Linked DNA regions of Ovis aries. Each later gene encodes a partner of the first gene's protein in a complex. Links are inferred from orthologs where the notes say so. Each region holds a gene or a part of one and is shown on either strand. Other genes may lie near its edges.

The links.
Region 2: the proteins of SCTR (region 1) and SCT are in contact, whole or in part, in a cryo-EM structure (PDB 6WZG), measured with the Homo sapiens proteins. The link is inferred for Ovis aries from reciprocal best matches to the Homo sapiens genes SCTR and SCT. Residues at the interface, in NP_002971.2 of Homo sapiens: Arg30, Leu31, Cys32, Leu35, Asp71, Asn72, Pro117, Val125, Val127, Asn128, Asp129, Asn132, Arg135, His136, Leu139, Leu140, Leu142, Lys143, Tyr146, Tyr150, Arg188, Asn192, Lys195, Leu199, Phe200, Ser202, Asp203, Val205, Met219, Phe222; in NP_068739.1 of Homo sapiens: His28, Ser29, Asp30, Gly31, Thr32, Phe33, Thr34, Ser35, Glu36, Leu37, Ser38, Arg39, Leu40, Arg41, Glu42, Arg45, Leu46, Gln47, Arg48, Leu49, Leu50, Leu53, Val54.

Annotation. Positions count from the first base shown.
Region 1 is NC_056055.1:184,860,309-184,872,973, reverse strand, and holds the start of SCTR (secretin receptor), read left to right. Parts: upstream 1-6,327; 5' UTR 6,328-6,525; coding exon 6,526-6,585; intron 6,586-12,665.
Region 2 is NC_056074.1:47,057,059-47,068,648, forward strand, and holds SCT (secretin), read left to right. Parts: upstream 1-6,493; 5' UTR 6,494-6,513; coding exon 6,514-6,590; intron 6,591-6,687; coding exon 6,688-6,789; intron 6,790-7,063; exon of another isoform or gene 7,064-7,172; coding exon 7,173-7,265; exon of another isoform or gene 7,266-7,469; coding exon 7,470-7,584; 3' UTR 7,585-7,691; downstream 7,692-11,590. Other genes in the region: CDHR5 (cadherin-related family member 5), read left to right, coding at 10,076-10,139, 10,272-10,447, 10,783-10,833. UniProt on the Homo sapiens protein: Hormone involved in different processes, such as regulation of the pH of the duodenal content, food intake and water homeostasis.

The DNA.
Region 1 (12,665 bases):
ATGGATGTGCTTAATTACTTTCTCCAACAAGTGTTTATTGCTATTGGAAACAGGCAGGAGATTATATATATATACATATATACACATATATATACACACTAATTTCTTATTGAAGTAGTAAACAATGTCTCCAGCCAACCAGGTAACCCCTCTCCACAAAATGAAGAAACTAATAATTCAGTGTTTTTATTGAGTGCGCATGAAATCAGACTCTGATGCACATCACTGGCTTCTGATGGCAAAGACAAGTAGAAATCTTACCCTTTCAGCCAGACACACACAATCCATCACACACATGCTAACTGTCTTTACCAAAGGAAAAACAAAACTCTGATCTTTTTGACAAGCTGGAAAATTACAACTTGGAGTCAAGCATGTAGGCTGAACTCCCACAGTATTAGGAAGACAGGGCACCATTCTCCTGGACAATCATGTTTCAAAGAGAAAGTTTTAAGATCTTCAAGAATGACGGTCCTGGGATGCAAAACTGGCAACAGGCTTATTTAGCTTTTATAAAGATTTACATACATCTCAGAGACAGAGGCGGAGAAGGTGATGGCACCCCACTCCAGTACTCTTGCCTGGCAAATCCCATGGACAGAGGAGCCTGGTAGGCTGCAGTCCATGGGGTCGTGAAGAGTCGGACACGACTAAGTGACTTCCCTTTCACTTTTCACTTTCATGCATTGGAGAAGGAAATGGCAACCCACTCCAGTGTTCTTGCCTGGAGAATCCCAGGGACGGGGGGAGCCTGGTGGGCTGCCGTCTCTGGGGTCACACAGAGTTGCACACGACTGAAGCGACTTAGCAGCAGCAGCAGCAGAGACAGAGGGGATTTACAAGTTTTCTAAGGGAAATGCTGAAGGAAAAGGGAGAGAAGAAAAGCTTTCTTTCTCTTTTGACACTAGGGAAATTTTTATATTTTAGTGTGGCGGGGGGAGAAATCTTATTCTTTCTCCTCTCTCAGGTTCAATGGCTGAAGCCTGAAATCAATCTGACAAGACAGATTAACAAGAGAAAAAGTTTTAATTGCCCAGATAGGCACAGGATTTCACAAGGAGATTTCACAGAGCCCAGGAGGCAGCAAATGACTGAGGTTTCTACACTGTTTTAGGAAGTGTTTTGGGGCTTCTGGGTGGGGGAGGAGAGCTGGGAAGGTGGGAAGGAGATGGGGGAGCTGGACAGTAAAAGGGCTCCCCTTGTGTCCTCCTGTGCAGGTTAGACTCTTGCAGGTAAAAAGACCAGTTCTCTTCCTCTCCTCTCCTGTACAAATGAGTCCCTTTGTAAAAGAAATTTCCACTTCTTAAAAGTCTCCTTTACAAAGGGGCACTTTTGTACTTTACACTTTGGCATCTCTGGGGAGGTGAAGAGCTTTCCCTGTACCTGCTGGTTCTCAGTTGCCTTTGGCTCAAAACAATACTTATGCCAAAGTGGCATCTTTTGGCTAACATTCAGTATTTTTGACTATATTTCTGAATATAACATTCATATATTCTGCCTCCCTGGGGTGATAAAGACTATCCGTATGAAGCAGTAGAGAACAAGTCACCCTGGAACCAAATACATGATCTCCCATCCTCAGGGTAACTTAAAAATTTTTATTGAAGTATGGTCCTGAGTATTCACTGGAAGGGCTGATGCTGAAGCTGAAGCTCCAATACTTTGGCCACCTGATGCGAAGAACTGACTCATAGGGGAAGACCCTAATGCTGGGAAAGATTGAGGGCAGGAGAAGGGGACGACAGAGGATGAGATGTTGGATGGCATCACCAACTCGATGGACATGAGCTTGAGCAAGCTCTGGGAGTTGGTGATGGACAGGAAAGCCTGGCATGCTGCAGTCCATGAGGTCTCAAAGAGTTGGACATAACTGAGCGACTGAACTGAACTGATAGTTGATTTACAATGTTGTGTTATTAAACAGTTGCAAGTGTATACAAGGTGATTCAGTTGCATATATATATGTATATATATAGTAGTTTGTAATAACCCCGAACTCCTAATTTATCCCTCCCCCACCCCTCTTCCCTTTTAGTAATCTTAAATTCGTTCTCTGTGTCTGTCTTTGTTTCTGTTTTGTAAATAAGTTCATTTGTTTCACTTTTTTAGATTCCACATATAGTGATATCATATGATATTTGTCTTTCTCTGTTTGACTTATTTCACTTAGCATGGTAATCTCTAGGTCCATCCATGTTGCTGCAAATGGCATTATTTCATTCTTTTTATGGTTGAGTAATATTCCATTGTGTATATGTACCATATCTTCTTTATCCAATCCTTTGTGGATGGACATTTTAGGATGCTGTCAAGTCTTAGCTATTGTGAATAGTGTTGCTGTGAGCATTAGGGTGCATTATCTTTTTGAATTAAAGTTTCACGGTAACTTTTAAGTTACTGTTGTGAGAACGTGACTTGGAGTGTTTGGGGATGGTCATGACTTAGTTTCCTATGCCCCACTACACCTACCTCTCCAGTGTAATTTGGAGAAAGGAATGAGGCTCCAGACCTGGAAAAGCATCAGAATCAAAGAGACATCCCTCTCTGTTGCTCCTGGGAGTTATAATGGATTTAGAGGGTGGACATAAAGTATTTCCCCACAGCCCCACTAACAGCACTGGTATTAGTACTAGTACTACTAGTACTAGGGGTCTCACGTGCTCCTCCAGGATCTTCCTACTTTCCATCAAGAGGCAGAGTCTATGTTGCCTCTCCTAGAACCAGGACTGGCTTTTATGATTATTTGGACAACAAAACACAGTAGAAGCAGATGAGGCTGGGTCATAAATCACGGTGCACCTTCGACCTGCTCTCTCTCAGGACAAGCACCTTTGGGATCACGGTTTAAGAAGCCCAGACACCCTGAAGCTGCCTGGAGCTAGGACCACGTGGAGCAAGCCCAGCCCCAGTCATCCAAGAGAGCACGTCTCCAGGGGACTCTGACTGCCACCGCGTGAGATGTGCTAAACCAGGGAACTGCTGGCCGAGCCCAGCCAACCCCCAGGACTGTGAAGTGACGATAAATCACTGCTCTGATTTTCCAGCACTAGTTTCAGGTGTAACAGACATAAGCGTGGTGGAGAACTCAGGCTGGGAATCAAAAAACCAGAGTTTCAGAGCAAACAATCCTGTGTGATCTGCAGTTCAGGCCCCACCCATCTTCATCTGTTCAGGTTTCTTCATCTGTTAAATGGCTAGACTGATATATCCTAGTGGGGTTATTCTCCTTTTGCCTCATCCCTCTCAAATCTCTTTTCTGCCTTCTCCACCCAGGAGGGAGGTTAAACTCTATGGACATAGAGAAATGCTATGGACAGTTTCTCCCCAATCTGTCTGTCTTGTCTCTGGCTTTGGGTTGGGTTCAGCCAACGGAAGACATAGCCAGGAGATTCAGAGGGCAGAAGAGAGGTCAGGGTATTTATCTCGACACCTGACAGTTTTTCCATTTGTTTGTTTTGGTTGTACTATGAAGCATGTGGGATCTTGGTTCCTAAACCAGGGATGGAACCTGCACCCCCTGCAGCAGAAACACAGAGTCTTAACCACTGGACCACCAGGGAAGTCCCAGACTGTGGTTTTGACAGAGGCTGCATCCCCCTCTGGTTAAGATCCTATGGGTGGCTCCACTCCCAAGGATAGCTCTTGCCTGCTTGGGGAGACACTGCTTTCTCTCTTTGCTCCTTGTTAAAGGAAAATTATCCCGACATTTATTAAAATGGTAAAGAAGCCTTCATTCAAGACTGTTACAACAGGGGTGTTGCAACAGAGGAGAGAACCAGGGCTCAACTCAGAATATAACAAGAAACAAAGGGGATTTGTAGCTATGGAGCAGGGTGAGGGCAGCCATGGATGGACGATTACTAAGAGGAGACATCAAGACAGGGAGATTTCTGCTAAACTGACTTAACACCCTTCTTGCTAAAGGCAGGACAGGATTATCCATCAAAGGTGGGAGAGACAAGGAACTTGACGAGATATTAAGGGGGAAGATTCTCACTAACCCATGGCAGGAGTCTTGCTGAGGCAGGCCAAAGACAGGTGGGGCCAAGGTCAAAGCAGAAGAGGCGCAGAGGAGTCTGACCAGGCCTATCGCTGCTGACCCGGGCACCTGCATGTCCCCTGCTGGTTCCCTGAGCCTCACCCACACCTCTGCATGGCATCTTCTCATTAAACTTTCAATGATACCATGTGAGCAATGGAGTCTCCCTCTCCTGCAGCCCCTGATCGCTGGTCCTACAGACCCCACAGAGCTGTTTCAAGGATCAAATGAAATACTGCATGTAAAAGAGCTTTGGAAAGACTGAGAGTAATAAAGTCATCTTCAGGATTGAGAGAAGTTCTAGTGCCATGCAAAGGACGTGGGCCCGGGCTTCGGACTCAGTCCTGTGTTCAATCCAGGCCCTGCCCCTTGTTGGCTGCATTGTTGAGGCAAATGGTTACCTTTCCCAAGCCTCAAGTTCCCATCTGATTCATCAAGGAAAGTCAGTGTCTCTCAGACAGTCTTGGAGGATTGTCTATGATGATACACCCAATTATTAAAAAACTCCCCAGCACATGGTGGGTATTAAATACATGATTAGTTCCCCACATGCTCCCTTCCACCCTATTCTGAAACTGTGTTCTCAGGCAGGTTCTACAAAGCCACTGACGGCATCCATGGCTTCCCACAGAGCATTTCAGATCCTTTCCTCGATATTCTGAGAGACAGAGCCTCCTATTTAAGGAACAATGGCTTTCCACAGGCCAGAAATTGATTGAATTGCCCAGAACAAATGTCATTTTGCTTTTTCACTGGTGATCACGAGGCTCTGGTATAGAGCACAGATTGCATTTTGCATTATTTTCTTTTTTTGTCTTTCCATCAAAAAATCAATACATCCAGTCATTACAGAAACTATTCATCAACATGAAAGTCTATAAGTAAAAATGGCATATCCTTACCGCATGCACTTTTTCTAATGCACATTTATGATATCAGAGAAACTAGTTCATAACATTTCTCCAGCCTGAATCTTGAATCAATTGAGAAATATGAGGAAGACAATGGGACCCAATATCACTTTTGTTGGTGATAATGGTCTCAAAGAATGTGGTTTATACTTGTGGACCAGAGGGGAGAAACCACCACCTGCCACTGGCCACACTTGATCAATCAGTCAGAACCTTGACTTTCAAGAACAGCCTGGGCCAGGGCAATCCAGTTACTGGCTCTCTGCTGGTGGGGACGCTATGAAAGGAAAGGGTGTGTGTGTGTGTGTGTGTGTGTGTGTGCGCGCGCGCGCGTGTGCGAGAGTGTGTGCATGTGCATGTACACGTGCCCAGAATCTCATGCCAGTCCTTAAGCCAGGTAGAGCTCACCTCCCTTCCATGTGTGGGGAAGAGGGTGAGGGAGAGAAGTCAATGAGCTGATGGCCTTCAAGTGCCTGAGAAAAAGATCTAGATAGAAGGAGACACAAAAGGAAAGGGGATGTGCATCAGAGCAGGAAAAAAAAAAAAAAGGGTCTACAAAAACCCTCGGAAGGTGCCTTGTACTGTACTGAGAGGCCAAAGCCAACCTTCAGGAGATCCGATGAAGAAGGAAATGGCAACCCTCGCCAGTATTCTTGCCTGGAGAATCCCATGAACTGAGGAGCCTGGTGGGCTACAGTCCATGGCTTCGCAAGAAGTTGTACACGACTGAGTGACTAAACAACAAGGAGATCTAAGCCCTCAGACTCAGGATGAGCAGCTGCTGGGCACACCTGCCTAATACTGAAATAGCTCCCGGGGAAACCAGAAAGCACAAACGCTCCAGCACAGCCCCAAACGCTGGGGTGCACCGATGGTCCTCCTTGGTCTCACCTGATCATCAAAGGCTTCTCAGTGTGATGGAGCTCATATGTGTGCAACTTTCTGGAAGGAGCGTAAATATCTAATAAGAAAGAAAAAAAAGTGAAAATCGGAAATGGAGTAGCTGCCCCCGGAATAGTGCCATAGGGATTTAACGAGCACCGGCTGTGTCACAGGGCGCTAGTTCAAACTTTTCACCCAGAAGGCGGGTATTATTAGAGGTACTGTTCGGATGAGAACGCTGAGGCTCCAAAAGGTGGCCTCCTGCCCATCCTCACGCAGCGCAGCGGTGGCGGCGCTGACTCGGACCTTGGGGAGGGCTCTTTTAGTCCGTGGGGGTGTGGCAGCGGGGCCTGCCGACCACAGCCTGCGGGAGCCGCTTTAGGCCTCGCGTCCTCCCTCCACCTCCTCCGCAGCGCGCCTTCGCGCTGGCCCCCGCCAGCCGGCCAGCCAGCAGGGGTGGGTGGAGGAGCGCACGCCACGCCGCGCCGCGTCCTTATCAACCGGCAGGGCGGCGTGGTGCGGGGCCACCCGGTCAGGGGAGGCGCAGTCCCGGGCCCGCCGCGGGTGGGGCCATGGCTCCCATGGGCGCGGCGGCCAGCCGGGGTCCGAGAGGCGGCAGGGAGCGCTGAGTGCTGAGCGGCGGCGCGCGCGGGCAGGCGGCCGTCGGGGCGCCAGGGGAGCGCACGCGGCACCATGCGCCCCCGCCTGCCGCCACTGCCAGGGCTGCTGCTGCTAGCCTGCGCCGTGCGCGCGGTGAGTACGCGCCCTTCCGCGGGTCCCTCTAGGGGTGAGGGGTGGAGGGGCCCCACCAGATCTCCTGCTGGGCGGCGGGAGGCGTTTCTCCCCATCCTTTCCCCGCAACTATGATTTTTGTCTGCTCCTCTCAGGGGGGTCCTCTCCTCCGAAATAAAATCTGTATGTGCCCGGGCGCAGGCGGCGCTGAGATAACTTACCTTGCCCTTCACCCCACCCGGGCGCTCCTGGGCGGAAATTCGGAAGCCGCCCCGGCCGTGCCTTTTGTGTGCGGGCACTTTGCCTGCAGTATTTCCTTGAAACCTCATCATCGACTTTCGAAGTTGCTATTTTCACCCTCACTTTGCGGACAAGGAAAGCGAGACTTGGAAAGACCAAAAAAAAAAAAAACTTGCCCCGAGAAAAGACAGCTGGAACCCAGTCTGCCTGCCCCAGAGCCTTGCCATTTTGCACGGACAGCGGCTGCGGACGGGGAGACTTGAAAGCTTGGCCGTAACTGCCGGAGCTGTAACGCCAGCGTTTGCCGCTTCCTCCTTGGTCTTGTGGGTTTGGCTCCGCAGTGTCGATGGGTCTGGGGACTTCTGGGAGCAGCTGGTCTCCCTAAACCAGGTCCAGGGAGGAACTGGCAGAGAAAAGGGAAGGCAGCAGAGTGAGTGGCTTATGTTGCTTTCTCACAAACTCCAGGAGTCCTGGCCTCTGCCTGTGGGGTTTGTGAAAGAGGGTGGCTGCGGCCAGTGGGGAAGAAGGAGCGGTGAGGAAGGGGCGCACAGATTCCAGAACTTCCCCTTTCCACCAGCATTCCAAACAGGCCCCCCACCGCCTCAGTCCCAAGAAACTCCCCAGGGAAAGCACTTAGGAACTCAATTCCGAGCCTGAAATCTCTGTCCTGGGCAAACCCTTCCTGCAAACACATCAGTGGCCCTCCTGTGGTCCTCTCCTGGTTGGCTATAAGAAAGACCTGCTTCTGGAGCTGGTGGGAGTGTTGACACGCAGGAGGCACGGCTCCTGTGGTGTCCAGAGCGGGGTTTTCGGCTCTCCTATGCAGCTCCCTTGTGTTAATAACTTGGAGCCTCCTGTCCTCAGCGCTGCAGTTGGAAGGTGCTAGGACAACAGCACCTGCTTGCAAGTCTGAGCTCCCACTTTGGGGAAACGCCATCTGAGACATGGGGACAGTTCAAAGCCAAATTCAGCCTCTGAGTGTGTTATTTGGTGCCCAGAGCTGGGAGGCAGCCCTTTTGGTGACCTCACCCCACCTCCCGCCCACTGCCAGCCTCCTTTTTAAGTATCTGCAGTAACACTGCGGTTGTCAGAAGAAATCAACAAGTGGCTGGGTCTTCAGGACTAAGGTTCAATGTACATTTTAATCTCCAGCGTCATTTTAGGAATAAGCCCAGGGGAAAATGAGATCCCTTGGTTTAGGTCTTCCGTGTGCCTTGGAAGGATGCTTTATTATGCCTTGGTCCACTTTCCTCTTTTTACAGGGGAGCAAACTGATACCCACAGAGAGCAGGGACCTGCTCCTTATCAGTAAGTTTGTGGCAGCTCTGGGACTGGAGCCCAGATCTCGCCTTTCTCAACAGCCCAGGGCTGTGTCTGGGTTGTCGCTTGTCTTTGCTCACATCTTCCTCTACTCACGCACCACTTTATGTTCCTGCCAGGTGGTTTCCTGTGTGTAAGTCTTGGCTCTCTGGTGGCTTTATGGGCTTATCCAGATCTGAGGTTCACACTTCTTGGCAGAGAACTCTGTCAACAAATAGGGGTGGAATTGCCCGGCTTTGGTTGGAGGATTTCCCAGCCTATGGAACCCTGCTTTTTTCCTGTTTGAGTGGTCAGACATTTAATTTTGAAACTGAAGGACATTCAAACAATTCCTTATCATTTCATGCTTCGTCTTGGGGGAAATCATAGGCATCTTCCCAATTGGTGGTGGTGGGGGATCACTAAGGCCAAATTGCTTATTAGTACTCCCCCCAACTCCCCACCTTTTCACACAGAGATGTAGGGAGGGTCCCTTGCAAGTGGACTGAAAAGTGCTGGTGGCTGGTGGGGCAGTTTTTTGAGACTCCCATAAGAAACTCTGGCTTCACCTCCCCTTACTGTCCTCATCCATGTCTCTCATGAGAATTTTTACCTAGAACAGTATTGTCATTATTTACCAGCACACCTGTCCTTCCCGTCCTCCCCAATACGTTCACTTAGAGCTTGAACCTTGAGACTCAGTCGCACTCATCCTTTATCCTTAGAACCTGTCATATCAGAAGAAAGAGTCAATGACTGTGTGTGGGCTGAATGAATGAATGAAGTGATGGTGCTATCCATAGTGGCTGCCCTCATGTGGGGCACTTTCATGTAACAACAGGTAGTGAAGAATGACATCTTACAAGCAATCATTGCTTACAAAATTGCACATAAATCTGCCAGGCAAAGGTGCAGTCTCTCAGGGGAGGGCTTTTAAATCCAGGGCATCTTGCCAACTGCCCACCTGAGAACCTGAGTGTGTTAAGTGGGGTACAAGGGGCTACTTTTTCCTTCAAGCAGGGTTTCTTAACTTTGACACTGTAATTCTGGATATTAAATCTGAGCTTTCCACATGGGATGCTGGGACAAGAGCTATGCCCTCCCCTGGCATGGGAGGGAATGAGAGGGTGGAGATAGTGGTTAGAGAGAGGGGAGCAGGGGGTGCGGGTGCCCTGTACATTGTGTGCTGTCCAGCAGCGTCCCTGTACTCTGCCTACCAGAAGCTAGTATCTTCTCTCCGAGTTGTGCCAACAGAAATTGTCTCCAGACATTGCCAACTGTCCTCTGGGAGCAGGCAGGGCAAAACTGCCCTGGTTGAGAACTCCTGCCTTAAAAGTTATTATGTCTCAGGGGAAATGTGTGACCAAGATTCGCGATAGGTGTCACTGGATGTTGGGTTCAGGGTAGTGGGGTTGGTGACAGGGGATCTGAGCTGGAGACAGAAGCAGGTGTGCCAGTGAAAACCCATCTCCGGATGAGAAGACCTCTATAGGGCATGGGTTCCTTTGGCTTCTCCACCCTCCCTTCCCACTCCCCCGTGTCCCTCTTCATTTCTTCTCGGTTGATGGCTCAGAAACACAAAAACTCTAAGGTGGGGTCTGGCATGTGGTGGTCCCCACCCCTTTCTGGACTGCCTCTGGACCCAGAGGTTGACAAGCTGGGTTAGCAGAATTTTAAGAAGGCCTGCAAGGTCACCAGAGGATCTGACTACTGATGCCTCTTAGAGAAAAGTCACTGGGAGCTTTGTATCCCTGAACAATATTCCGAGGTAGTATTGTGGATTTCTTTTTGAGTTTTTGTTCTTCCTAAAAGTCATGTGACTGATGACCATGATGATGATGATGGTGAAGGCTTCCCTCAGTGCCTACTTCACACCAGATACTCTGCTAAGCTGTGCCTGGCACTACTTGACTTCTCTCACCAAGAGTCATCATCCTCACTGTGCATGTGAAGAAACTGAGATGTAGAAACAGGTGAAACCAATGGTCAAGTCACCCAGCTGACATGATGGTGTAAGGACTCAAAGCCAGCTGTGCTTAGCCAGCACGTGCATCTGCTTCCAAAGAGAGGCCGCTGGTTTTTGGCTTCCAAGGCACTGTCATGAAATCTTTCTCAAACCACAAAATGACAATAACTACAGTTTAATCTAATCACTTTATAAAAGGCAAATCAAATACAGAATTACACACAGCATTTTACTGAGGGTTGCCAGACATGAGTTTGGGGCCACAAATTCAAAAAAACAGGAGAGATGCTTCTCACACTGTTTAGGGGAGTCCTTTAGACTTTGGCACCCCCTTTACGAGTTGCTACAGAGCTCCCCTCCTGTCCCATCCCCCAAATCCCCTCCCTTGACACTGGAGGGCACAGGTCTCTTCCTGGCACCTCTTGTTGAAAGCCCAGATTCCACAACCAGGATTAGAGCTCTGCCCCCAGAGTGGCCTCTGGTTTGGCCCCTGCATCCCTGTCCTTAGCCAGCTGAGGTCACCACTGACCTTTGCTCAGGCTCTGGAAAAACCTGCAGCCCCAGATAAGACCCACAACACTCAGATTCTATCTACTTGCTTACATACAGAGTATATAAGTATTCATGAGGATATGAGAAAGCAGGAATCTCTTGGGGCCCACCCAGCTTCAATATTCCATGTCTGAAAGAGTCCAAGGAGCATCTGGGGAAGGGACCTCCCTGATGGGTCATCTGGTGGTTGTGCTGCCAGGATTCCTGAGTTTTCCAGACTTCTCCAGAATCACTGCATGCCCCACATCACTTCCCTCTCTCTCGGCTCCCCAAGGCTCCCCTTGGTGTCTTCAGAGATTTCTGACCTTACTACCTCCTTTCATTTTCAATAGATGGGTGTACCTCCCATATCCTGAGAGTCAGAGACTGAACTTCCTCTGAGCAGCATCTTGCCCTCACAGATGAATCTAAGTTGGACCCTCCTGTTCCTGTCCTCCTGCACCCAATGTCATGCCGTGCCAGAGCAGCACAGACTGAGGGGCTTGAACAGTGGAAATTTATCTTCTCGTAGGCCTGGAGGCTGGATATCCCAGATCATGGTTGGATTCTGGGAAGACCTCCCTCCCTGGCTTGTAGTTGGCTGCCTGGTCCTCATGTAACCTTTCCTCTGACTTCTGAGAGAGTGAGTTCACTGATATCTCTTGTAAGGATGTTAATCCTATCAGATTTGGGCCCCCTATGACCTTATTTGACCTTAATGAACTCCTCTGGGCCCTGTCTCCTAGCAGAGCCGCACCTGGGGTTAGGGAGTCAATACATTCTTTGAGGGACACAGACATTCAGCCTGCATCACACCTGAATGGAATAGAGGCTTTGCTCCAGCCCCATGCTCCTGACCTCTTCCCCACACCATGCTCAGTGACTTTCGTCCTGAGATGACACAGAGGTAGCCTTCATCCTGCTCCTCTTGACTGGATTTTCCATCAGCTAGTCAACCTGCCCAAGCCCATCCAGCCAAGTGGCAAAGGAACTTTACAGCTCTGGCCATGGTTCCTCCGCTACCGCTCATGGCCAGCATTTTGGAAGATGCATCTATGATCCCTGCCTCCACCTGTCCGTTCCTCAGCCTGCAGCACCCTGGCTCTCACCCGTTCCCTACTCGCATCAGTCTCACCAGGCCCTGCATTATCCCACTTTCCCTAGACAGGGCGTGGTCTGTGTCCCACCCAAGGGGAACACATGGTTGATGAGAGTTTGGACACTATGACTAATGACATCAAGGCAGCGAGCACACTCCCTGACTGTTCTGGGCAAGATGGGCAGGGCACCCATGGGACTCCAGCCTCTTAGAGACATTTGGTGCTGGGACACTCTGTCCCTCCCCCTCTTCCTCACCTTGGTGCCTGCCTTTCACAGGCTTGTGGTTCCCACTGTGCCTCAAATGAGGTTTTCCCTCTTTCGAGGTTTCCCCGTGTCACACGGTTCCTTCCTCTTGTGTGATCCCTCCTCCTGCATGGTCCCTCCTTTTGCTCATCTTCCCAGCCTGTGAGGGTCACTGTCTCAGGCACTGTCTCTGGCCCTTGCTCTCCTTATGCTTGCTGCTCTCTCTTACTATGTGTTTCCTTGCCCATCTTAAGGTGATGTAAATCCAACCTTAACCATGCTTATCTCACTTCAGCTGCTGCCGAACTCATATCTCTTGTCCTTGTTTTCCCTGTTGTTGGAGTTACTGAGGTACCCAAAGCAGACACATAGGAACGATGCTGGCCCCTGTCCTCAGCTGGCCCTCAGCCCCTGCTGGCCCCTGTCACATCTGTGCACATGCCCTCCGCTATGGGGGTGACTTCTCGCCTACGCGGTGCAGTGCCTCCCAGGGGTTTCCTGCCACTGCTTGTGGTCCATGGTTGCCTGCCCACTACCTTCCCGCATGCTCCCGCCACAGGTGCCTCTGGACCCCTTGGAGCCTGTGAGCTACGGCAATAAGATCTGTGTCTGCTCACCTTCGATTGCAGAGCATCCTAGGGACCCAGTAAGTGTTAGATGACATTTTGGGTTTGGAACTGGTTGTAGGATCGAGTTCCCTCTTTATTTGTCACTGTATAAA
Region 2 (11,590 bases), on another chromosome or scaffold:
AACAGCTCAACTGGAATTCCATCACCTCCACTAGCTTTGTTCGTAGTGATGCTTCCTAAGGCCCACTTGACTTCACATTCCAAGATGTCTGGTTCTAGATGAGTGATCACATCCTCATGACTCTCTGGGTCGTGAAGATCTTTTTGTACAGTTCTTCCGTGTATTCTTGCCACCTCTTCTTAATATCTTCTGCTTCTGTTAGGTCCATACCATTCTGTCCTTTATCGAGCCCATCTTTCTATGAAATGTTCCCTTGGTATCTCTAATTTTCTTGAAGAGATCTCTAGTCTTTCCCAATCTGTTGTTTTCCTCTATTTCTTTGCACTGATCGCTGAAGAAGGCTTTCTTATCTCTTCTTGCTGTTCTTTGGAACTCTGCATTCAGATGCTTATATTTTTCCTTTTCTCCTTTGCTTTTTGCTTCTCTTCTCTTCACAGCTATTTGTAAGGCCTCCCCAGACAGCCATTTTGCTTTTTTGCATTTCTTTTCCATGGGGATGGTCTTCATCCCTGTCTCCTGTACAGTGTCACGAACCTCGTTCCATAGTTCATCAGGCACTCTATCTATCAGATCTAGTCCCTTAAATCTATTTCTCACTTCCACTGTATAATCATAAGGGATTTGACTGAGGTCATACCTGAATGGTCTAGCAGTTTTCCCTACTTTCTTCAATTTAAGCCTGAATTTGGTAATAAGGAGTTCATGTTCTGAGCCACAGTCAGCTCCTGGTCTTGTTTTTGCTGACTGTATAGAGCTTCTCCATCTTTGGCTGCAAAGAATATAATCAATCTGATTTCGGTGTTGACCATCTGGTGATGTCCATGTGTAGAGTCTTCTCTTGTGTTGTTGGAAGAGGGTGTTTGCTATGACCAGTGCATTTTCTTGGCAAAACTCTATTAGTCTTTGCCCTGCTTCATTCCGCATTCCAAGGCCAAATTTGCCTGTTACTCCAGGTGTTTCTTGACTTCCTACTTTTGCATTCCAGTCCCCTATAATGAAAAGGACATCTTTTTGGGGTGTTAGTTCTAAAAGGTCTTGTAGGTCTTCATAAAACTGTTCAACTTCAGCTTCTTCAGCATTACTGGTTGGGGCATAGACTTGGATAACCGTGATATTGGTTTTCCTTGGAGACGAACAGAGATCATTCTGTCATTTTTGAGATTGCATCCAGGTACTGCACTTTGGACTCTTTTGTTGACCATGATGGCTACTCCATTTCTTCTGAGGGATTCCTGCCCACAGTAGTAGATACAATGGTCATCCGAGTTAAATTCACCCATTCCAGTCCATAAATTTGCTGATTCCTGGAATGTCGACGTTCACCCTTGCCATCTCCTGTTTGACCACTTCCAATTTGCCTTGATTCATGGACCTGACATTCCAGGTTCCTATGCAATATTGCTCTTTACAGCATCCGACCTTGCTTCTATCACCAGTCACATCCACAGCTGGGTATTGTTTTTGCTTTGGCTTCATCCCTTCATTCTTTCTGGAGTTATTTCTCCTCTGATCTCCAGTAGCATGTTGGGCACCTACTGACCTGGGGAGCTCCTCTTTCAGTATCCTATCATTTTGCCTTTTCCTACTGTTCATGGGGTTCTCAAGGCAAGAATACTGAAGTGGCTTGCCATTCCTTTCTCCAGTGGACCACGCTGTGTCAGACCTCTCCACCATGACCTGCCTGTCTGGGCCTAGAGGAGCTATCCCACGTTGAAGGTCAGGAACGGTGGCGGTAAGGAGATATCCCTCATCCAAGGTAAGGAGCAGTGGCTGTGCCTTGCTGGAGCAGCCGTGAAGAGATACCCCCACGTCCAAGGTAAGAGAAATCCAAGTAAGATGGTAGGTGTTGCAAGAGGGCATCAGAGGGCAAACACACTGAAACCATACTCACAGAAAACTAGGCAATCTAATCACACTAGGACCACAGCCTTGTCTAATTCAATGACCCTGCTTAGCTTCCAAGATCAGGTGCGTTCAGGGTGGTATGGCCCTAGACAGTTGATGCAGTCTCAAAGAGTTGGACATGACTGAGTGACTGAACTGATCTCAGAAGGTCAAAAATAGCCAAGACACTCTTGAAGAAAAGCAAGGTGAATGAATTTGATCTGTCAGATATGAAGACTTATAAAAGTACTGTAATTAGGAGGGGGAATTAACGGAGGTATTGTAGCCAAAGCAGTTGGGGGGTGACAGTCGGGCAGACGGCGCGCACGGAGAGCATAGCCATGGGTCCAAGTGCATACAGACGGCTGGTCCACGGCGGCAACACCGAAAGACAGCAGAGAGCCGCGCGGAAAAAAGCAAAGCTGCGCCACCACTTAACACCACGCACCGCAGGAATCTCAGATCTGCATCCGAAATGTAAAACGATGACGCTTTGGGAGGTAATATATGGTAATATATTATGTTGTTATTTACTCAGGAGACAAGAAATAGGGAAACATTCTGAGTTTCCTCATATTAACGTGAAGAACGTTGTCCCCCTGTGCTCACCAGTCCTAAACTATTCATAACCTTTTCTCAGTACCTATCAGTTTCCTGCCTTAAAAGACCCTTCTTACAGCAACTGCACCCTGTAACAACCTCCCCCCGACACCCCTTCGACCTTTCCCAGCCCCTGCCCTTCCCGGCTCACGTTTGGTAACTCAGATAACTCAGCTTGGTTGGTCAGCCAGACTCCCTGACGATCTGTCGGGTAGCTGACAATCCACAGTCGTTACCTTTTTGAGCTACATACTGAAATCCTCACAGGTGAGCTGATACAAGCTCTGAGATCTGCTCCAAAATTAAGTTGAAAAAATAAAGAAAGTCAGTAGGGGTGGGTAAGAGTGGCTGTAAATTGTTGAAGCTGAGTAATGGTACCTGGGAGTTTGTCTACTTTTGTATGTCTTTAATTCTCTGTAAGGAGTAAAGTGATCTTTCTTTTTCTGCTCTGTAAAACGGGACGTTCGTCAAAGCCACAGAAAGGTTAGAGTCTATTACACGACTTAGCGACTGAACAAGTCTGGGCCCCAGGTTCATATCCTGAAGCACTCAGCCAAAGGTAGCCTAAGACACTGGCTTCTGCAGGTCTGTGAAAGAAGCAGTCACAGACCTGAAAGAAGAGTTCTCTCCAGTGCCCTCCCGCAACACTCCTAATGCAGAGCTAAGAGTAGGCGCCGTTAAACTTGCCATTTAAACCTTAGCAGTAGCAGTGTTAGCCGCTCAGTCGTGTCTAACTCTTCACAACCCCATGGACTGCAGCCTGCCAGGCTCCTCAGTCTATGGAATTCTCCAGGCAAGAACACTGGAGTGAGTTGCCATTTCCTCCTCCAGAGGATCTTCTTGACCCAGGGATCGAACCCAGATCTCCCACATTGGACGCAGACTCTGTACTGTTTGAGTCACCAGGCAAGCTCATTTAAATCTTAGTTAAACCCCCCAAAACAGAATATTTTTGGTGATTTAGTATTCAGAGAATAAAACTGTGTCATAGTGAGATATATTCTTAGGCCTTGACTATGTTCCCGCCTATGTTCTACTGTGAAAAAATAAAGCTGCTTTTTCTTCCTCACAATCTTCGACCCTGTGAATTCTCTGGGGGACCAGTGCAAAGGCCTCTGTGTTCTCACTGCAGAGGGCCTGGGTTTGATCCCTGGTCAGGAACTAAGATCCAAGCCTGCCAAAAAAAAAAAAAAAAAAAGGAGAATCCTGGACCCTGAAACTGGCCATTATTAGGATCCCGCACACAGAATGATGTCTGATCTGAGGCTTTGAATAGCTATTCATGTAACCTGACTGTTTTCTGTGTGCCCGTAACAAGGACCTAGCTGGGCTTGACGTCCCGGGAAACCCTGGTGCTCTCCCTGGAATCTGTGGGTCCCACGTGGTATTTGTCATGTAGCTTCTGTTGCAAAGTAGGGTCCAAACCAGGCCAGGCCTGAGCCGCGCCTTGCTTGCTTCTCCAGTTCCCATCAGAGGCCAGTCCACCTTATCTGCTGCATTTCAGCGTGAAGTGCTGAGCCGGCTACATGTGGGTGTGGAGGACACTGGCCGGGAGCCGTCTGGAGAGAGTGCCAGCAGCAGGCACAGTGGGGCACGGCTGTTCAGATGTGACGGGGGCAGCTGGTTACAAGCTCCCCCACGACTGGCCCCCGCGGGCCTGCCTGCCCCTCCTTGCCTCAGCCCCGCCCGGCTCTGCCGCTCAGGCCTCGCCTCAGCCTGCCTGCCCTTCTGCACTAGTGACCGCTTGGGACCTGGAGCTGCTGTGATCAGAGCAGCGTAGGACAGCGGGTGTGCCCTAAGCTGCTGCCCACTAAGCTGCTGTTTTTCAGCCGCTAAGTTGTATAACAGAGTGGACCCTTTCTGTGGGCAGCAGGAGGCAGTTCTTTGGGGCAATGGGCTTGTCCTGTATCCCGATTATGGTGGCACTCACTCTATCCAGACATGTCATAATTCATCTTTTACTGTATGTTAATTTTTTAGAAGTCAATATGCCTGCATGCTGATTTTTTTTTTTTTTAAGATAGGAAGATCCTTCCTATGAAGAGCTGCCTGGTCACTTAAGTGTTTGAGGTGCTAAAAAATATGAATGAGTACTACGGTTTTGAGTATTCTCATGAAAGTGATTAACTGGTCAATGCTGCTAAAGTTTAGGGGTTGTAATCTGCCAAATTTGTGCAAGAAGAGGCCACAGCAGCTGTTTAAAAATACAAACACAGAAGACAATGAGATACCACGACCCATGCTGCAGGGGGGATGAGAGACTGGTGCAGCCACTTTGGAAGACCACTTGGTGGCTTTCTGCAAAGCCAAACATACTCTTACCTTGCAATCCGGCAATCACGGCCCTTGATGTTCACCCAAAGGAGCTGAAAACTTACATCCACACGAAAACCTGTGTGTAGACGTTTACAGCAGCTTTACTCATAATTGCCAAAATCTGGAAGCAACCAAAGCAAGCCAAGATGTCCTTTAGGAGGTGAGAGTATAAATAAGCTGGTGTCTCAGACAGTGGAGTATTATTCAGCACCAAAAGGAAATGAGCTGTCAACCCATGAAAAGACATGGAGGAAACTTAGATCTGTGTAAGAGAAAGAAGCCAATGAGAAAAGGCCACACACACACTGTACAACTCCAACCACATGGCACTCCTGAAAAGGTGAGAAGACTCCTGAGAGTCCCCTGGGCTGCAAGGAGATCCAACCAGTCCATTCTGAAGGAGATCAGTCCTGGGTGTTCACTGGAAGGACTGATGCTAAAGCTGAAACTCCAGTACTTTGGCCACCTCATGCGAAGAGTTGACTCATTGGAAAAGACTCTGATGCTGGGAGGGATTGGGGGCAGGAGGAGAAGGGAACGACAGAGGATGAGATGGCTGGATGGCATCACTGACTCGATGGACGTGAGTCTGAGTGAACTCCGGGAGTTGGTGATGGACAGGGAGGCTTGGTGTGCTGCGATTCATGGGGTCGCAGAGTCGGACACGACTGAGCAACTGACCTGAACTGAACAGAAACAGTAAACAGGCGCTGGGGACAGAGGGAAGGACAGGCAGGTGGCGTTAAGGGGATCTTCAGGGCAGGAAAGCTCTGTGAGGTAGCGTCCACACTAGTGGATTCCTGTTATTATACATTTGTCAAAGCCCATAGAATATGTAACACCAAGATGACTAGTAACGGAAAACCCCGGATGTAGTTAACAATAATGTGCGATATTGGTTCATCATTTGTAACAAATGTCCTAAATGAATGCGCCCTGTTGGTGAGCCTGGGTGTGTGTGTGTGTGTGTGTGTGTGTGTGTGAATTCGTACTTTCAGCTCGATTTTTCTGTAAACCTAAAACTGTTCTAAAAAACCAAGTCTGCGGACTACTTTTAGAATGCACATGAAGTTTAACACAAGAGCTGCTGGTTTATAACTCCACTGACTTGATTCGCAGTTTCTGTGCCAGGATTTCAGAGGTGCTGGTTGTAGAAAGGCCGACCGAGGTAGGCTCAGGTAGGCTCAGATCTCCCGCCTGCAGAACCGCACACGAAGGCCCAGGCGCCCCAGGCCCTGGTTTCGCTCGGCCGCAGCCCTCCAGCCCCAAGCTGCCCGCAGCTCCCCGCGCCGTGCCGCGTCCGAAGACTGGGGAAAGGTCACTCGGTCCGCGGCTTCGGTGGCCTCGGCCTGAGTCCCCTCCAGGCCCTCTGGACCGCCTCATCGGGCCTCCGCTGGCGCCTCTAAGCTTCGCACAGGCCGTCCCCCTGCAGGTTCCGCCCGCCGCCCCCACCGGGGTCCCCTGGTCCCCGGGCGCCCGAACCCCGCCGGCCTGCCGAGGGGCGCCACCGCGGCGCTAGGGGCGGGCGGGCTGCCGGGGCGACAGCTGCGGGGGCGGCCCTGACCTTCCCGCGCGATCGATGGGGCGCGGCTCTGGCGGCGCGGAGCCGGGGCGGCGCTGACCCCCGCCCGCCCGCCCGCCCGGCTCCCTCTCCGGGCGCCGCTATAAAGGGGCCCGGGCCTCGCGGCTGCTCAGCCCGTTCCGGAGCGCACCATGGCTACGCTGGCCCTGCTGCTGCTGCTGCCGCCGCTGCTGCTCGGAAGCTGCGCCGCGCGCCCCGCGCCCCCCAGGTGAGCCTGCGGCCCGGGGCCTGCGCCCACTCCCCCAGCCCATCCTGCCCCCGCCCGGCCCTGACCACCCGCGGCCGCCCTCCCGTCCCCTCCGCAGGGCCCCGCGACACTCGGACGGGACGTTCACGAGCGAGCTCAGCCGCCTAAGGGACAGCGCGCGGCTGCAGCGGCTGCTGCAGGGCCTGGTGGGGAAACGCAGGTGAGGGGCGGGGTCTGGGGGGGTAAAAGCAGGTGAGGGGCGGGGCCTAGAGGAGAAACGTAGGTGAGGAGCGGGGGGGGCCTGAGGGAAAGGCGGGCGAGGGGCGGGGCCTGAGGGAAAGGCGGGCGAGGGGCGGGGCCTGAGGGAAAGGCGGGCGAGGGGCGGGGCCTGAGGGAAAGGCGGGCGAGGGGCGGGGCCTGGTGGGGGAAGGCGGGCGAGGGGCGGGGCCTGAGGGAAAGGCGGGCGAGGGGAGGGGCCTGAAGGGAAGGCGGACGAGGGGCGGGGCCTGGTGGAGAGGGCCGGTAAGGGGCTGGCGGGGGACAAGCGACGCGGTGGGGGAGCCCCCCGACTCCAGACTAATCCTGACTTGGGATGGGGGGCAGCGAGCAGGACACAGAGAACAGCACAGCCTGGACCAAGTCTGCGGAGGGCCCGCTATGCCTGCTGTGGTCGGACGCGCCCGCCCTGCAGGCTTGGTGAGCAGCGGCCCTTCCCCATCCCTCCTCCAGCGCCTCCCTCCCTGAGGCACCCTGGGTCTCGGGCACAGCTGGACACAAGCACGGTCCGGGAGCCTGGGAAGGGGAAACTGCCGGCGCCGGTGACCAGAGAGGCCTGCTGTCCCCAGGTGGGCGTGGTCTCCCGCACCAAGACCGCAACCCTTAACCCGGCTGTCTCTGCAGGGCGCCCCTGAGGCCCCCCGAGGGTCAAGCCTGGTCTTCCCAGCTGCCTCTTGCACTGAAGGCAGGGGTCATGATGTCCAAGCCGGCCGTCCCGACTGCTGAGGGGACCCGATGAGGCCCTGAGGAAGAAGGACCCTCCGGAGGGGGGCCTGGACAGAGGAGGGGGTGGGAGGAGGGGGAGGGGTTGCATCTGGCACCAATAAAGGAGGAATTCAGACCCTAGCCCCCTGAACTCTCTTTGTGCACTGCCGTCTGGTACTCTCAAAGCACCTGTGGTGTGCGGCTGTCCAGGGAGGGAGGGCCCTGTCCTCCAGAGTCTAAGATGGTGGCCACACCCAGCTGCCCTTTAAACCTGGGAAGCCAGTGGGGAGCTTCATCTGCCCACTTCCTTATCTGCTGCCCATCCCCTGGGCTCCCTGGGAGCTGGCTGCACCCCTGCCATCCACACAGCAAACATTCAGAGACCGTGGGGGGCTCACATGTCCCCCAGCTCCTTTCCCAGGGAGGCAGCAATGAGGGGGCAAGGCTGTTCTTCAGTCGCTCAGTCATGTCTGACTCTTTGTTATCCCATGGACTGCAGCACACCAGGCTTTCCTGTCCTTCACCATCTCCCAGAGTTTGCTCAAACTCATGTCCACTGAGACAGTGATGCCATCCAACCATCTCATCCTCTGTCATCCCCTTCTCCTCCTGTCTTCACTCTTTCCCAGCACCAGAGTCTTTTCTAGTGAGTCAGTTCTTTGCATCAGGTGGCCAAAGGATTGGAGCTTCAGCTTCAGCATCAGTCCTTCAATGAATATTCAGGGTTGATTTCCTTTAGGATTGACTGGTTTGACCTCCTTGCAGTCCAAGGGACTCTCAAGAGTCTTCAACATCACAGTTCAAAGGCATCAATTCTTTGGCACTCAGCCTTTCTTATTTTCCAGCTCTCAGATCTGTACGTGAAAAACCATAGCTTTGCCTATATGGACCTTTGTAGGTAAAGTGACACCTCTGTTTTTCAATATGCTGTCTAGGTTTGTCATAGCTTTTCTTCCAAGGAGCAAGCGTCTTTTAATTTCATGGCCACAGTCATCGTCCAGAGTGATTTTCAAGCCCAGGAAAATAAAGTCTCTCATTCTTTCCATTGTTTCCCCATCTATTTGCCATGAAGTGATGGGACCAAATAAGCAGGGCAACAATATACAAGCTTGACGTACTCCTTTCCCAATTTTGGACCAGTCCATTGTTCCATGTCTGGTTCTAACTTGCTTTTTGACCCGCATACAGGTTTGACAGGAAGCAGGTAAGGTGGTCTGGTATTCCCATCTCTTTAAGAATTTTTCCATAGTCCATTGTGATCTGCACAGTCAAAGGCTTTAGCGTAGTCAATAAAGCAGAAGTAGATGTTTTTCTGGAATTCTCTTGCTTTTTCTATGATCCAATGGATGTTGGCAATTTGATCTTTGGTTCTTCTGCCTCTTCTAAATCCAGCTTGGACATCTGGAAGTTCTCGGTTCACGTACTCTTGAAGCCTAGCAAGGGGCGAGGACAGGGCAGGGAGGCTCAGCCAAGCAGGAAGAGGTGACAGGCAGGAGACGTCGCCCAGGAGGCCACTCCCCAGTGGAAGGACCTGAGCATGACTCAGGCCCTGTGTCCCGGCCTGCCGTCTGGCAGAGTGCCTTGACTACCCGGGGCCTGTGGGGCAGGGCCGGTGACGACAGCCCAGGAAGTGCCAGGGTTGCAGGAGGGCTTGGAGGACCAGGGGTGCTGGCAGGGCTGCTCCGGGAAGGTGTTTCAGGCCAGGAGGTGGGGAAGACTCCACCCCACGCCCCATCACAGCAGGCCCTTCTCCCCTCCTGGACCCCACCCATTGCTGTCTCCCACCTACTGAACTTAGGTGGCCAAGGAAATGGAGGCAGGATGCTTGGGGGCCTGGGCTAAGGTTCCTCACCAGGATGCCCCTCTGTTGGCACCCAGGGTGCCCCCCCAGAGCTGCCAGCTGCTCCTGGAACACTCCGTCTCTGTCACGGTGGGCTCAGCCAGCCTTGCCTGGAGGAAGCCAGCTTGTTTCTGGGACAGCAGAGGAGTCCCTGAGACACAAATAACACAAATAACCTTTCCCTTCCAGACCTAGAGGGTTGAGTAAGGAGAGGAGGTGGGCCTGGACCTCACAGGGCTGACTCCTGGCACTGCGCCTGTGATCATTCTGGCAGAGGAGCCCAGCAGAGGGGCATTCTTCGTGGGGGTGGGGCGGGAATACGGCGAGCACAGAAGCCAGTCCCCCACCTCCCCAGTCCAAGCCCCGGATCCGCTGCCCCTGCCCCGCTGTGAGCTCCTCTGTCTCGGGGTCAGTGGGGTAAGCCCCGTCAGCCCCTGTACGCGGCCTGGATCTGGTCTCCCCCTCCTTGCGGTCAGAGGGGCCTGGCCGGCGGCAGACGAGGGCCCCCTTGGTGGAGGCCAGGCCTGCAGCCGGCAGTTGTCAAGGACCATAAAGTGGGGCGGCGTCTGGCGGGGCGAAGGTCACCCGGGAGGAGAATGCACCAGGCAGCACCCGGGCGGCTCAACAAGTCCTGGACACCAGACGGGCTCGGACCCTCCGCGGGCCGCCCGCCGCCACCGCCCAGATGGGGACCTGGGTCCTGCTGCTCCCGCTGCTGTTTGCTGCTGAGGCCCAGGCCCAGGGTACAGGTGTGGAGGGGACGGGGCCGGGCAGGGCAGGGGGCTGGGCAGGGCGCGGGCGGGGGCTGGGCGGGGCGAGGGCAGGGGCCTGGGCGGGGCGCGGGGGGCTGGCGGCACCGACCCTTCCTCCCCAACGTCCAGTCTGCTCCGTGGAGAAGACCTTCCTCACAGTCGAGGAGAACACGAACCCCGGGGAGCCCCTCCTGGACATCTACGTCCCCGAGGGCCAGCAGGTGACCCTTGGACCCTCGTCCACCCCTTTTGCGTTTCGGATCCAGGGGAATCAGCTGTTTCTCAACGTGACCCCGGACTATGAGGTGAGGACAGCAGACCCAGGCTGGCTGTGCCCGTGGGGGCAGCAGGGACTCCCGTGGGACCCCCCTGGGCACTGACACTCCTCCCCAGCTCTCTGGGGATCTCTGGGTCTCAGTTTGCCCATGGGGCCTCTTGGGCCCCCTGGCTTGGCTGAGGGCCTGGTCTCGGGGGTGGGCCCCTCAGGGAGTCAAGCTGCCGGGCCCTGACGCCCGCTGGACGCAGGGCGGGGGACACAGACCCCGAGCCAGCACCTGCCGCGCTCGTCTCCTCAGCTGGGCGATGGGGACGGTCAGCGGGGCCAGCCGGTCAGGTGAGTCCCACGCCCACCCCCTCACAGGCGAACACCATGCTGGAGGCTCTCCTGGAGTGCAGGAGCGGTGTCTCCGCGGTGAGTGCGCCCCCAGACCCCTCCCACTCCCCGCCCCCAGCCCACCCCTCCTGGCCTGGACCTCTGTGCTCCGCCCTGCCCGGCCGCGGTCACTCCCTGCTGACCCCGCCCGGTGGCGTGTTCAGGCGTCACCTCTGCCAGCAAGGCCGCACTGCCTCCAGCAGACTGTGCCTGACGCTCCCAACCCCAGCCCAGTGGGTCCCCCAAGCCGACCCGAGAGGCACCCCGCGCGCCAGCTCCGTGCCCCCCTCCCCCGTCCCTCCCCAGCGAATCTGCTGCCTCTGCCCCAGGCCAGGTCCTGCCCGCCCCGGGCGTCCCCCCGGGGCCCGGTCAGCAGCATCTTCCAGCCGGTCCTTGGCTCCCCCCGAGGTCCCGCCCAGCCCAGGGCGCGGCAGGAGAAAGTCTCCAGTAGCGGGAGGCTCTCTCCAGCCGGGTCCCCGCCTCCCGAATGGAGTGAATCCAGGAGAGCGGTGCCCCGCCCCCAGCCCGCTCCCTGCGTAGACGCGGCCTCGCGGAGGCGCCCACCCTCGCGCCCCCTGCCGCGCCAGCTGGCTCTTCGGTTTTCCCTAGTCCCGTAGGTGCCCCCAGCCGACATCACAGGGCACCACAGAGATTTCAGGATGAGCCTCTAAAAGATAAGGCTGCTTCGTAACGGCTCGCTCCCATGGTGATGCCGTCACACCAGGGAAGGCAGGGACCCCTCAGCAGTGCGACACCCCGCGTCCCCACTCCCCCGGGGCCAGAGGCGTCTGTGACA